Linked DNA regions of Saccharomyces cerevisiae S288C. The gene in region 2 interacts genetically with the main gene of each other region. Each region holds a gene or a part of one and is shown on either strand. Other genes may lie near its edges. The genes, in order: CUL3, RAD26 and SIZ1.

Region 1 (3,757 bases), on a different chromosome or scaffold from region 2:
GCGAGAATTTTGTTCTGCAGCGCAGGTTTGAAGGTCGATAATTTTGTAGATCTTAAGTATACACCCGGCGATAGCTTCTCACCATGCGTAATCACACCTAAAGCCTTCCTTTCATCTGAATTGAAATCTTTCAGCAATTGTTCTGCATATGCGCTTTCTGACTTTCTTTTGAGCGCCGTTTGCATTTCCTGTCTTTGTCTTTTGGTTTTCTTGGGGGAGAGATTTTCCTTGACTTCTGACTTTTTTACATTCAGTTGTTGAAGTTGCCTATGTTGGGCAAACTGCTGTTGCTGCTTCATCCAAGGATTTTCAGGGATGTTCAAATCGTGCTTCCGCTTTCTAGTTTTATCTGCTAGAAGCGCGTTATATAACTGAGACATTCCCTGAGAGGTAAGGTATTGTGTAATTGTCTGATCTGAATGTGGCGAGTCCAACAGTCGGAGTAATGATTCTCTTTCTGCAAGTGTTCTCTTGGCAGCCATTTCAAATTTTTTGGACTCTACTACGAGTGCCTCTTCTTCAGCAATTTCTGCTGCAGAACGAGAAAGAAGACGCTGTAAATACTTTTTTCTCTCTATCTCCTTTTCAGCTGAAAAATTCAAAGAAGATAAAAGCGGATTGCTAGGATCACTTGCTTTAAAATAATTCCTACAGGTGTAATAAAATTTTTCTTTGAGATCTTCAAGTGTTCTTGAATTATTATAACTGTATCTGTCAAAGATCAGGAACCAACGTAAATCGTATTTTTTGCAGAGATTGAACAGGTATTCTATTTCTTCAAAAGACCAGCTATTTTTACTTTCATCCTTCTTTTCATTAGTAAAGTTTTCGTTATGGTTTTTTTCACTTTCTACGCTTTTTTGAGTTCCTTCGTTTTCATTCATAAAAGCCTCGTACTCCTCCTTGGTGAATGATGGAATAGATAAATGCTGATTGAACTTAGAATATGGCGATTCTTTTGGTGTGTCTCCTATTAATTCTTTGGAACCCTTGACCCAATGACGCAGAGTCACAGAGTTATTAGCTTTGAACTCTACAAATGACCAAGGAGATGGCTTGGACGTCGAAAGCATTTTTTCTTTAAAGTTATTTCCAGACTTAATAACAACGGGGGGTTGGTTCTCTCCTAGCAGGTTAAATAGTTCTCTTTGCATGCCCGTCACTTGAGGCTTGGGCCGGTTGGCTGCCGAGGACGAAGGCACTGATACCTGGCCATTAGTTGGACTTCTGGATTTTTGCTTAATGTTTAGTACATCAAAGATGTCTGATGATGACATATTACCTGTGGTTTTTTTACTAAATTTTCGTATTATCGGAGAAATATGTTATGAATGCTTGTTGCTATTAAAATACAAAGTGGATTCTTGATTTATCACTAAATAGCTACCCGGAGTTGGCGCATCGCAACTTCATTAAATAAGTTCGAGTGTGCGTATTCTAATCTGATTCATATAAAGTATACTCTAAACGGGCTAACTCAAATCTGAAATTAGGGCTACTATATGATAACTAATAAGAAAATAAAGATAAGTGTCCCAGAAAAACTCGGTTTGTCAGAAGAATCTTTTGAGGAATCCTGGGAAACAGTTAAATATGCCATTGATCATATATACAGCGATGACATGGCCGACCTTTCCTTCGAACAAGTGTACAAGACCATTTATACTATCGTTTTAAATAAAAAGGGGCCAATACTTTATAACAGATTGAAAGATTATTTAATCCAAAAATTAGCGCTTTTGAGGGAAACGATAGTCAAGGACAATACTCATGATTATGAGTTTCTTGGAACTATGGCACGGTTATGGGAGGTGCAATGCCATTGTTTTAAAATAACGGGAGACTTAATGATGTATATGGACAAAGTTTATTGCAAACCAAATAGATGCATGGAGGTATACGACATGTGCCTCGATCTTTTCCGAATCGAAATATTGCAAAAATGCTCATCTTCTCTCATCTCAGCACTGATATCTGATATAGAAAGGATTCGTAATTTAGGATCTGTCGACTCCGAACATACTAGTTTGTGGAAAGTACTAATAGGAATGATGGAGACATTACATGACAATAGAGATAGTTTTTTCTTAACCGATTTTGAGCCGGTTTTGATTAGCGCGACAGAAGAATACTACAATAAAGCTATTGATATTGAATTATTAACGCCAATTGAGAGCCTGGAAAAGATTAGGAAGTTAAGGCAGTTTGAAAGTATGCTAGACTCCTCTTTTCTAAATGTGGATTCTCATAATAAGTTGAAGACTGTATTAGAAAATGTCCTTATATGGGGAAAGTTGAGTGATATTATTGAAGATCTAACGCACGAAGCAATGGTAATTTCAAATGGAAAGCTACTCCAAGAAATTTATGACTTGTCAAGCGAGGAAAAATATCGCGTTACTGTCATTGAATCTATTAAATCTTACATCAATAAAAATGCCATAAATATTCCTTTTAATGAAGGTAACCGCAAAAAAGGGCAGAATGCGATTACTTGGTCTTCGGAAATTGTAGAGCTATATCGCAGTCAACACTCGTTTTTGGAAAGTATTGATTTTGGTTCTGTTCGTCTTAATAATTTGACCGGGGATGTATCTAATGCAATACTTGGCGATGTTTTCTCAATGTATTTCTCTAAAGAAGGAGCATTACCATCTGAGTATCTTTCTACCTACGTGGACCATTGTATGAAACGAACCAAGGAAAAAGATGCTGAAATAGTGAAGATCAAGCAAGATTTGCTTGATAGTACCAAATTAATCGGACTCCTAACTGAGAAGGATATATTTGAAAAGATTTACAAAAAACAACTCTCCAGAAGATTACTGCAGCAGAGGTCTTTAGTGGAAATTGAAAAATGGATGGTGCAAATGATAAAGAAGGTTCTAGGAACTTTTTTTACCTCAAAATTGGAGATAATGCTGCGAGATATATCTTTATCCTCTGAAATGTATCAAGCATTCCAACACTCAACAATCAACAGCATAGAATATTTGAGTTTTGCACCACAAGTTTTGACGAGAACGAGCTGGCCCTTTCAGAGTACTAATCCAATTGATGAAGGTATTTCACTACCTCCTAGAATGTCACAAATTTTAGCTGGCTTTGAGGGCTATTACAGCTTAAAATACAAAGAAAGAGTGCTAAAGTGGGCTCATCATCTAAGTGTAATTGAAATTGGCTGCCAATTTAATAGCGGTTACTACGAAATAAGTTTTTCTGTTTACGCTGGAGTGATTTTCCTTCTATTTGAAGATTATGAAGAATTAACGTTGGGGGAAATATATGAACTAACTCATATTCCCATAGATGACGTTAAGTCTCTTGTAATGTCAATGTCGACAATACCCAGATGTAAGATTTTGAAAAAATCATCCAGTTCAGGAAATATGAAATTTTCAGTTAATTATTTCTTTTCTTCTCCAAACAGGAAAGTGAAAGTGCCGGTTATTGCATGCCCTCTACCATCTCAGAAATCAGATAATTTGGCAACCGCAAGTTCCGTGGACACTTATGATAATGAAATTGTTATGGAGCTTAGTGCTATTATTGTTCGTATCATGAAAACAGAAGGTAAGCTAAGCCATCAGCAATTACTTGAAAGAACTACGAAACGGACACAGTCTCGGCTCAGTCTTACACCGAGCATTTTGAAACGAAGCATTCAGCTTTTAATAGAGAAAGAATACATCCAGAGAAACGCAGATGACCCCTCTTATTACCATTACCTTTCCTAATTGCTTATAATGAAAATCAC
Region 2 (3,757 bases):
ATGGGAAATGGTCTTTTTAGTCATTGGTTTTGGAGGATCTTGGGAAAGATTATTCAAAGCCAAAACTTCCATTTCCCCAGTCATTGAACCCAGAATAACAATGTCTGAGTCAGATATATCAAAGATTTCCGAGTCTTTCACACTGAGAGTTTGCCTAATGATCCAATTGTCTATTATCACGCAGAACTTCTGCGTGGGGGAAAGAGGCACTTCACCCCATATTTGCACAGTATGGTTTTTCTCCATTTCAAAACAAGACCATATTCTCAGAACTTTATCTTCACACAGCGTATAAAGAGCATGAGAGGCAGTGTTGTTTTTACTCACCTGGTCTGGCTCTTTTTTCCACCGCATTGCAGTTATAGGTTTCGGATGAGGCAACATAGTAAGGTTAAAGATGGCTTGTTCTCCGACTATTGAAACACGCTTCCATAGTTTAGCATTACAGTCGTACTTCCCAATACTGACTATCAGCTGCGAATCTTGTGATATAATCACATTATAAACAGGTTTAGGCTGTTTTTGGTTCCACTGCAAAATAGGTTGATACACACCAAAATTATCCTTAATTTTCCAAAAAGAAAGAAAATCAGATCCAATGGCTAACTCATTATCAGAAGACCATCTTAGGCAGTTTACTGGCGTGTCATCATGGAACAACTGGCAACATTGGGTCCACTTGGGATTCTGCATAATTTGATGAATGGGCTTGTAGATGAGCACCCTATTGTGGAAGGAAAGGGCAATGAATCCATTCTGGCTGTTAATATCGACCGCAGTACAGTCTGATTGTGTATATATGGTCTGTAACCTAGTGAATTTGTTGGTAAGTATGATTAAATTATTCCCTGAACAATATGCAAAGATGGTATGATTTTGCCATGTTGCTTGACAAGCTGTCTGAGGGGTAGCATTGGGGCGTCCTGGAAGAAAGTTCAATGACATGAGAACTACCTTTGCGTGTGCACGTTTGTTTACTTTCTCAATTGTTTGCGGTGTTCTTAGATCCCTTTAATTATTAAAAAAACTGAAGTGCTTGAAACAATAACATAACGAGGTTTCGCTATGCGGGCAGCTTTAAAGAAAGAGGGATAGTATATTAAAAGGCTGCCATAACAATTAATCGGAACAGAATAGACACAAATAAATTTGCAGTGCGTTTGTAGATATCAAAGAATGGTAGCTAGTTGTAAAGATCAGAAGAAGGCTGTCGCTATATGTTTGCAGAGATCGCCCTGTGTCATGATAGAGAGACATAACCCTCAAGAATGTCTTGACAATCCAGAGCTGAATAAGGATCTGCCCGAACTTTGTATTGCTCAGATGAAAGCATTTTTGGATTGTAAGCGAGGAATCGTCGACATGACTAAGCGGTTCACAGGTAACGCACCTCTGTCGACTGGCAAGTACGATCAACAGTACGAAAACTTGTGCAAAGGAAAGTTTGATCCGAGGGAGGAGATGGAAAAGCTAAAACTTCTGAACAGCCAGCAGAAGGACTGATTATTTATGAAAATTGGCCTGTAAATATATACATAAATAAATATATGCGTCAAGCTCTTTTATTCGGTTTGTCCAGTAATCCTCTTACAATATATATATATATATATACGCATGTAGCGTATTCAAGAACATTACATTTAAAAAATAGAGGGTAGAACAATAAAAATGCACTTAACAAGTTCCGTAAGTAGAAATTATAATCAGTCTAAGTACAAATTTATACCTTAGCTTCATTTCAGTTAAGGGCGATGCAATAAAAGTGGAAGAAAAAAAAAGAAGGGAAGAGGTTTGATAATATATATATATATATATATATAACATTGCTCAGAGAAACATACATCAGTGATGGAAGATAAAGAGCAGCAAGACAATGCGAAACTTGAAAACAATGAGTCACTAAAAGATCTGGGAGTTAACGTGCTTTCCCAAAGCAGTTTGGAGGAAAAAATAGCTAATGATGTAACTAACTTTAGCAACCTACAATCGCTGCAGCAAGAAGAGACTCGTCTAGAACGGAGTAAGACCGCTCTGCAACGTTATGTCAATAAGAAGAATCATCTCACAAGGAAGTTGAACAATACCACTAGGATATCTGTTAAGCAGAATCTCCGAGACCAGATCAAGAACTTACAATCAGACGATATTGAACGAGTTCTGAAGGACATAGACGATATCCAATCAAGGATTAAAGAGTTGAAAGAGCAGGTAGATCAAGGTGCTGAAAATAAAGGTTCCAAAGAGGGGCTGCAGAGACCCGGTGAAACTGAGAAGGAGTTTTTAATCAGGACTGGTAAGATCACTGCATTTGGACACAAGGCTGGTTTCAGCTTGGACACTGCAAACAGAGAGTATGCCAAGAATGACGAACAAAAAGATGAGGATTTTGAAATGGCAACAGAACAAATGGTAGAAAATTTAACGGATGAGGATGACAATCTCAGCGATCAAGACTATCAAATGAGTGGTAAAGAGAGTGAAGATGACGAAGAAGAAGAAAATGACGATAAAATTCTCAAAGAACTGGAAGACCTGCGGTTCAGAGGCCAACCTGGTGAGGCGAAGGATGATGGGGACGAGTTGTATTATCAAGAAAGGTTAAAAAAATGGGTGAAACAACGTTCTTGCGGTAGTCAAAGGTCATCGGACTTGCCAGAATGGCGAAGACCTCATCCGAATATTCCCGACGCAAAACTTAATAGCCAGTTCAAAATACCCGGTGAAATATACTCGCTGTTATTTAATTACCAAAAGACGTGCGTTCAGTGGCTCTATGAGCTTTACCAGCAGAACTGTGGCGGTATTATTGGTGACGAAATGGGTCTGGGAAAAACGATTCAAGTTATCGCATTTATCGCAGCGTTGCATCATTCAGGTCTATTAACAGGCCCTGTATTAATTGTCTGTCCTGCAACTGTGATGAAGCAATGGTGTAATGAGTTCCAGCATTGGTGGCCTCCATTGAGGACGGTCATATTGCACTCAATGGGTTCAGGAATGGCTTCTGACCAAAAATTTAAGATGGATGAAAACGATCTAGAGAACTTGATAATGAATTCAAAGCCAAGTGATTTTTCTTACGAGGATTGGAAGAACTCAACAAGGACAAAGAAGGCATTGGAATCAAGCTATCATTTAGATAAGTTGATAGATAAAGTCGTTACTGATGGGCACATTTTAATTACCACGTACGTTGGGTTAAGAATACATTCAGATAAGCTACTAAAAGTTAAATGGCAGTATGCTGTTTTAGATGAGGGACATAAGATTAGAAACCCAGATTCGGAGATTTCATTGACTTGCAAAAAACTGAAGACACATAATAGGATCATTCTTTCAGGAACACCGATACAGAATAATTTAACCGAGCTTTGGTCGCTTTTTGATTTCATTTTCCCTGGTAAATTAGGAACTCTACCTGTGTTTCAACAACAGTTTGTCATACCTATAAATATTGGTGGTTATGCAAACGCAACAAACATACAAGTTCAGACCGGCTACAAATGTGCTGTTGCATTGCGTGACTTGATTTCACCGTACCTGTTACGTCGTGTGAAAGCTGATGTTGCAAAAGATCTGCCACAAAAGAAAGAAATGGTTCTCTTTTGTAAGCTTACGAAATATCAAAGAAGCAAATATTTGGAGTTTCTGCATTCTTCAGATTTAAACCAAATACAAAACGGTAAGAGAAATGTTCTATTTGGTATCGACATTCTAAGGAAAATATGTAATCACCCCGATTTACTTGACAGAGATA
Region 3 (3,757 bases), on a different chromosome or scaffold from region 2:
GAAGAGTAATAGCTGTTCAATGCGGTTAAAAAGTTCCTTGCTATGTCGCACATAATCGTTTCTATGTTTTTCTGCATATCTGGAGAAGATGCGAATACATTTTCCATCGTATCTATGGTTTGCTCAAGCTCTTTAGTGGGTGTAGATGAAGCGTACACCAAATTCGGTGAAATCAAAGTTGGATACTTCTCCTTCATGAAATTCAAATTGGTCAAGGGGTCACTGTAATCGTTTACCAGCCCAATAATGACAAATGTTTTCCGAAATGGCTCAAAATCATACAGAAACAACTCCAATGCATCGTCATGATCTATGGTCAAGAAGTCGAAAAATAACTTCCCATGTGGAAAGCCTTGCGGTGTGAAGATAGGGCTGTCAATGGGGGTTACATCAGACAGATGAATTTCGTTGAATTCAGAAAGTTTCTGTACCGCATTATTAAACTCTTTTCGCGTCCAATGGCCAATTGGTATCACTAAGGTCCTAATCTTAGATGGGCCAACATAGCTTGGGAAATGCTTAAGAATATTCATGGTTTTTGTCTCCCTGTAACAGGTTGTGAGCCGCACCTTAAACCAGTTATACTAGAACCGTTTAAACTACAATCTGGCCTGATTTTAGTTTTGCAATAACACGATTAAGCGTTTACACATGCACATTCATATATAAGTATACGTATTTACACACATTTTATTCGAAACCTTTAAGATCGTTTTGTCACAATCCATGATCATGATTTACGACGCGAGATGTTTCGCGCCTCACTTTGAAGAATGCCAAATATAAAAGTATAAATATGGGAACTATTCTTATTTGTGAAGCTGCTGTAAAACCTTATATGTAGCTTCTACAATCGCGATGTGCTCAGCATCGTGTACCCTTTGCTCGTACTGCTCTAGTGTTTCTTCGCCAGGTATGATTTCTAGCTTTTTTACCACCAATGGCTCACCCTTGTCGACCTCCTCGATGACATAGTGCACCATGCATCCGGCCGTCAGAGGCTTGTTCTCGTCCTGACATTTGCGCCATGCCATTTCAATTGCGTGTGTGGTACCATCGAAACAACCTGGTAGCGCTGGATGCAGATTTAATATCGGCACAGATTGCAGTTGGCTCAAGAAAGTAGATCCAAGGATCAATAACCAGCCCGCGCAGATGATAACGTCAGGCTTTTCCTCGAGCACTAGTTTTGCGAGGTCGTTCTCAAACTGGGATCTTGCCTTGGCCCTTGCGGCTTTGTCCTCCTTCGCAATACCCTTTGTATATGGGTATAGCGAACAAACCTTTGTGGGGATATTATTGTCCGCTGCCCTAGTTAACCCGTATGCCTTCTTGCTGGAAGATATGACAGAGACAATATGAGCATCCTCGCCTAATTGGCCCTGCTTTTGGGCATCGATCAAGGCTTGCAAGTTGGAACCTGAGCCCGAAATTAATACGACAATTCTGGCCATAGCTTTTGGAAAGATTATTGATGTGTGTTGGCTCTCACCTGCGCTTGCTGCAAGTTAAATCATCAACCTTGAGGCTAGGAGCGTTATTCAACTTTAGAAGTGTCTTCTCTTCATAAACTACTCTATATAACTTTCCTCTTGCTGGAATAAAAAACAGGTCAGAGTCACTAGCAACGAGTCACTCATTCGAATCCTTGCTGACGCTTTTAGTCTTTATGCTGAAATCTATCTTCGAAGTCGGAAGGAAAATGCATTTTTAAACTATCACTAGAACTACCATTTTAGAGCGAGCAGAAGGTTCCTCTTTTCTTAAACAAGTATAATTTTCCTTTTTGGATTGTACTTTATATTCTTACACTAAACGGCCCCTAGATGTCACCTGAGCTGTAGTCAATGTATACACCCATTCACCGCACCAGATAGTAAGTTGAAAAGTGTATCATCTTTAATATGAATATGAAAGAATGAAGTGGAGTTCATCCATATTTCACAAGAAAAGAAGACTCCAACTCAAACAGTTGAGTGTTCCATATACATTCTGTTTCAATGATAAATTTAGAGGATTACTGGGAAGATGAAACGCCTGGGCCTGATAGGGAACCGACTAATGAACTAAGAAACGAGGTGGAGGAAACCATCACTCTGATGGAACTGCTGAAAGTGTCCGAATTGAAGGATATTTGCAGGTCTGTATCTTTCCCGGTTTCCGGTCGCAAGGCCGTTCTACAGGACCTTATCAGGAATTTCTTGCAGAACGCTTTAGTAGTAGGCAAGTCTGATCCTTATAGAGTTCAAGCCGTTAAATTTCTGATAGAACGGATCAGAAAGAATGAACCTTTGCCTGTTTATAAAGATCTTTGGAACGCTTTAAGAAAGGGTACCCCATTGAGTGCTATCACAGTACGTTCTATGGAGGGGCCTCCCACGGTGCAGCAGCAATCACCTTCCGTTATTAGGCAGTCTCCCACTCAACGGCGGAAAACGTCTACCACATCTTCCACATCTCGTGCACCACCACCTACAAATCCAGATGCCTCTTCTTCTTCATCATCTTTTGCTGTACCGACAATTCATTTTAAAGAGTCTCCATTTTACAAAATACAAAGGCTAATCCCTGAATTAGTGATGAACGTGGAAGTCACAGGCGGAAGAGGTATGTGCTCTGCGAAATTTAAATTGTCCAAAGCAGACTATAATCTATTAAGTAACCCGAATAGCAAACACAGGCTATACTTATTTTCTGGGATGATTAATCCATTAGGATCCCGAGGTAATGAACCCATCCAATTTCCATTCCCAAATGAATTAAGGTGCAATAATGTTCAAATCAAAGATAATATAAGAGGTTTCAAGAGTAAGCCGGGCACAGCTAAGCCGGCGGATTTAACGCCTCATCTCAAACCTTATACTCAACAAAACAATGTGGAGCTGATATATGCCTTCACCACGAAGGAATACAAGCTATTTGGGTACATTGTAGAAATGATCACTCCGGAGCAACTCCTGGAAAAAGTATTACAGCATCCAAAAATTATTAAACAAGCCACGTTACTTTACTTGAAAAAAACACTTCGGGAGGATGAAGAAATGGGCTTGACTACCACATCTACTATCATGAGTCTGCAATGTCCAATTTCGTACACAAGAATGAAATACCCTTCAAAATCAATAAATTGTAAGCATCTGCAATGTTTTGATGCATTATGGTTCCTACACTCCCAACTACAAATTCCTACGTGGCAATGCCCAGTATGTCAAATTGATATAGCTTTGGAAAATTTAGCAATTTCCGAATTTGTTGATGACATTTTACAGAACTGTCAAAAAAACGTTGAACAGGTAGAACTTACTTCTGATGGTAAGTGGACAGCCATATTGGAAGACGATGATGACAGCGACAGTGACAGCAATGATGGTAGTAGAAGCCCAGAAAAAGGTACTTCAGTATCGGATCATCATTGTTCTTCTTCACATCCAAGTGAACCGATTATCATAAATCTCGATAGTGATGATGACGAACCAAATGGAAATAATCCTCATGTTACTAATAATCATGATGATAGCAACAGGCATAGTAATGATAACAATAATAATAGTATCAAAAATAATGATAGTCATAATAAAAATAATAATAATAATAATAATAACAATAATAATAATAATGATAATAATAATAGTATCGAAAATAATGATAGTAATAGTAATAATAAACATGATCATGGTAGTCGCAGTAATACTCCCAGTCATAATCATACTAAAAATTTAATGAACGATAATGATGACGATGATGATGATCGACTTAT

Evidence for each region.
Region 1: of RAD26 (region 2) and CUL3, changing one enhances a phenotype caused by changing the other (phenotypic enhancement), as found in Saccharomyces cerevisiae (one study listed by BioGRID).
Region 3: mutations in RAD26 (region 2) and SIZ1 impair growth when combined (synthetic growth defect), as found in Saccharomyces cerevisiae (one study listed by BioGRID).

What each region holds. Positions count from the first base shown.
Region 1 is NC_001139.9:498,630-502,386, forward strand, and holds CUL3 (cullin CUL3), read left to right. Parts: upstream 1-1,502; coding exon 1,503-3,737; downstream 3,738-3,757. Other genes in the region: SWC4 (Swc4p), read right to left, coding at 1-1,277. UniProt on the Saccharomyces cerevisiae protein: As part of the CRL3 E3 ubiquitin ligase complex; polyubiquitylates monoubiquitylated RNA polymerase II subunit RPO21 to trigger its proteolysis; plays a role in global genomic repair.
Region 2 is NC_001142.9:495,507-499,263, forward strand, and holds the start of RAD26 (DNA-dependent ATPase RAD26), read left to right. Parts: upstream 1-1,848; coding exon 1,849-3,757. Other genes in the region: RAV1 (Rav1p), read right to left, coding at 1-945; PET191 (Pet191p), read left to right, coding at 1,177-1,503. UniProt on the Saccharomyces cerevisiae protein: May be involved in the preferential repair of active genes.
Region 3 is NC_001136.10:1,287,406-1,291,162, forward strand, and holds the start of SIZ1 (SUMO ligase SIZ1), read left to right. Parts: upstream 1-2,000; coding exon 2,001-3,757. Other genes in the region: TRAPPII-specific subunit TRS120, read right to left, coding at 1-533; ADE8 (phosphoribosylglycinamide formyltransferase), read right to left, coding at 810-1,454. UniProt on the Saccharomyces cerevisiae protein: Acts as an E3 ligase mediating SUMO/Smt3 attachment to septins and PCNA. May be involved in chromosome maintenance.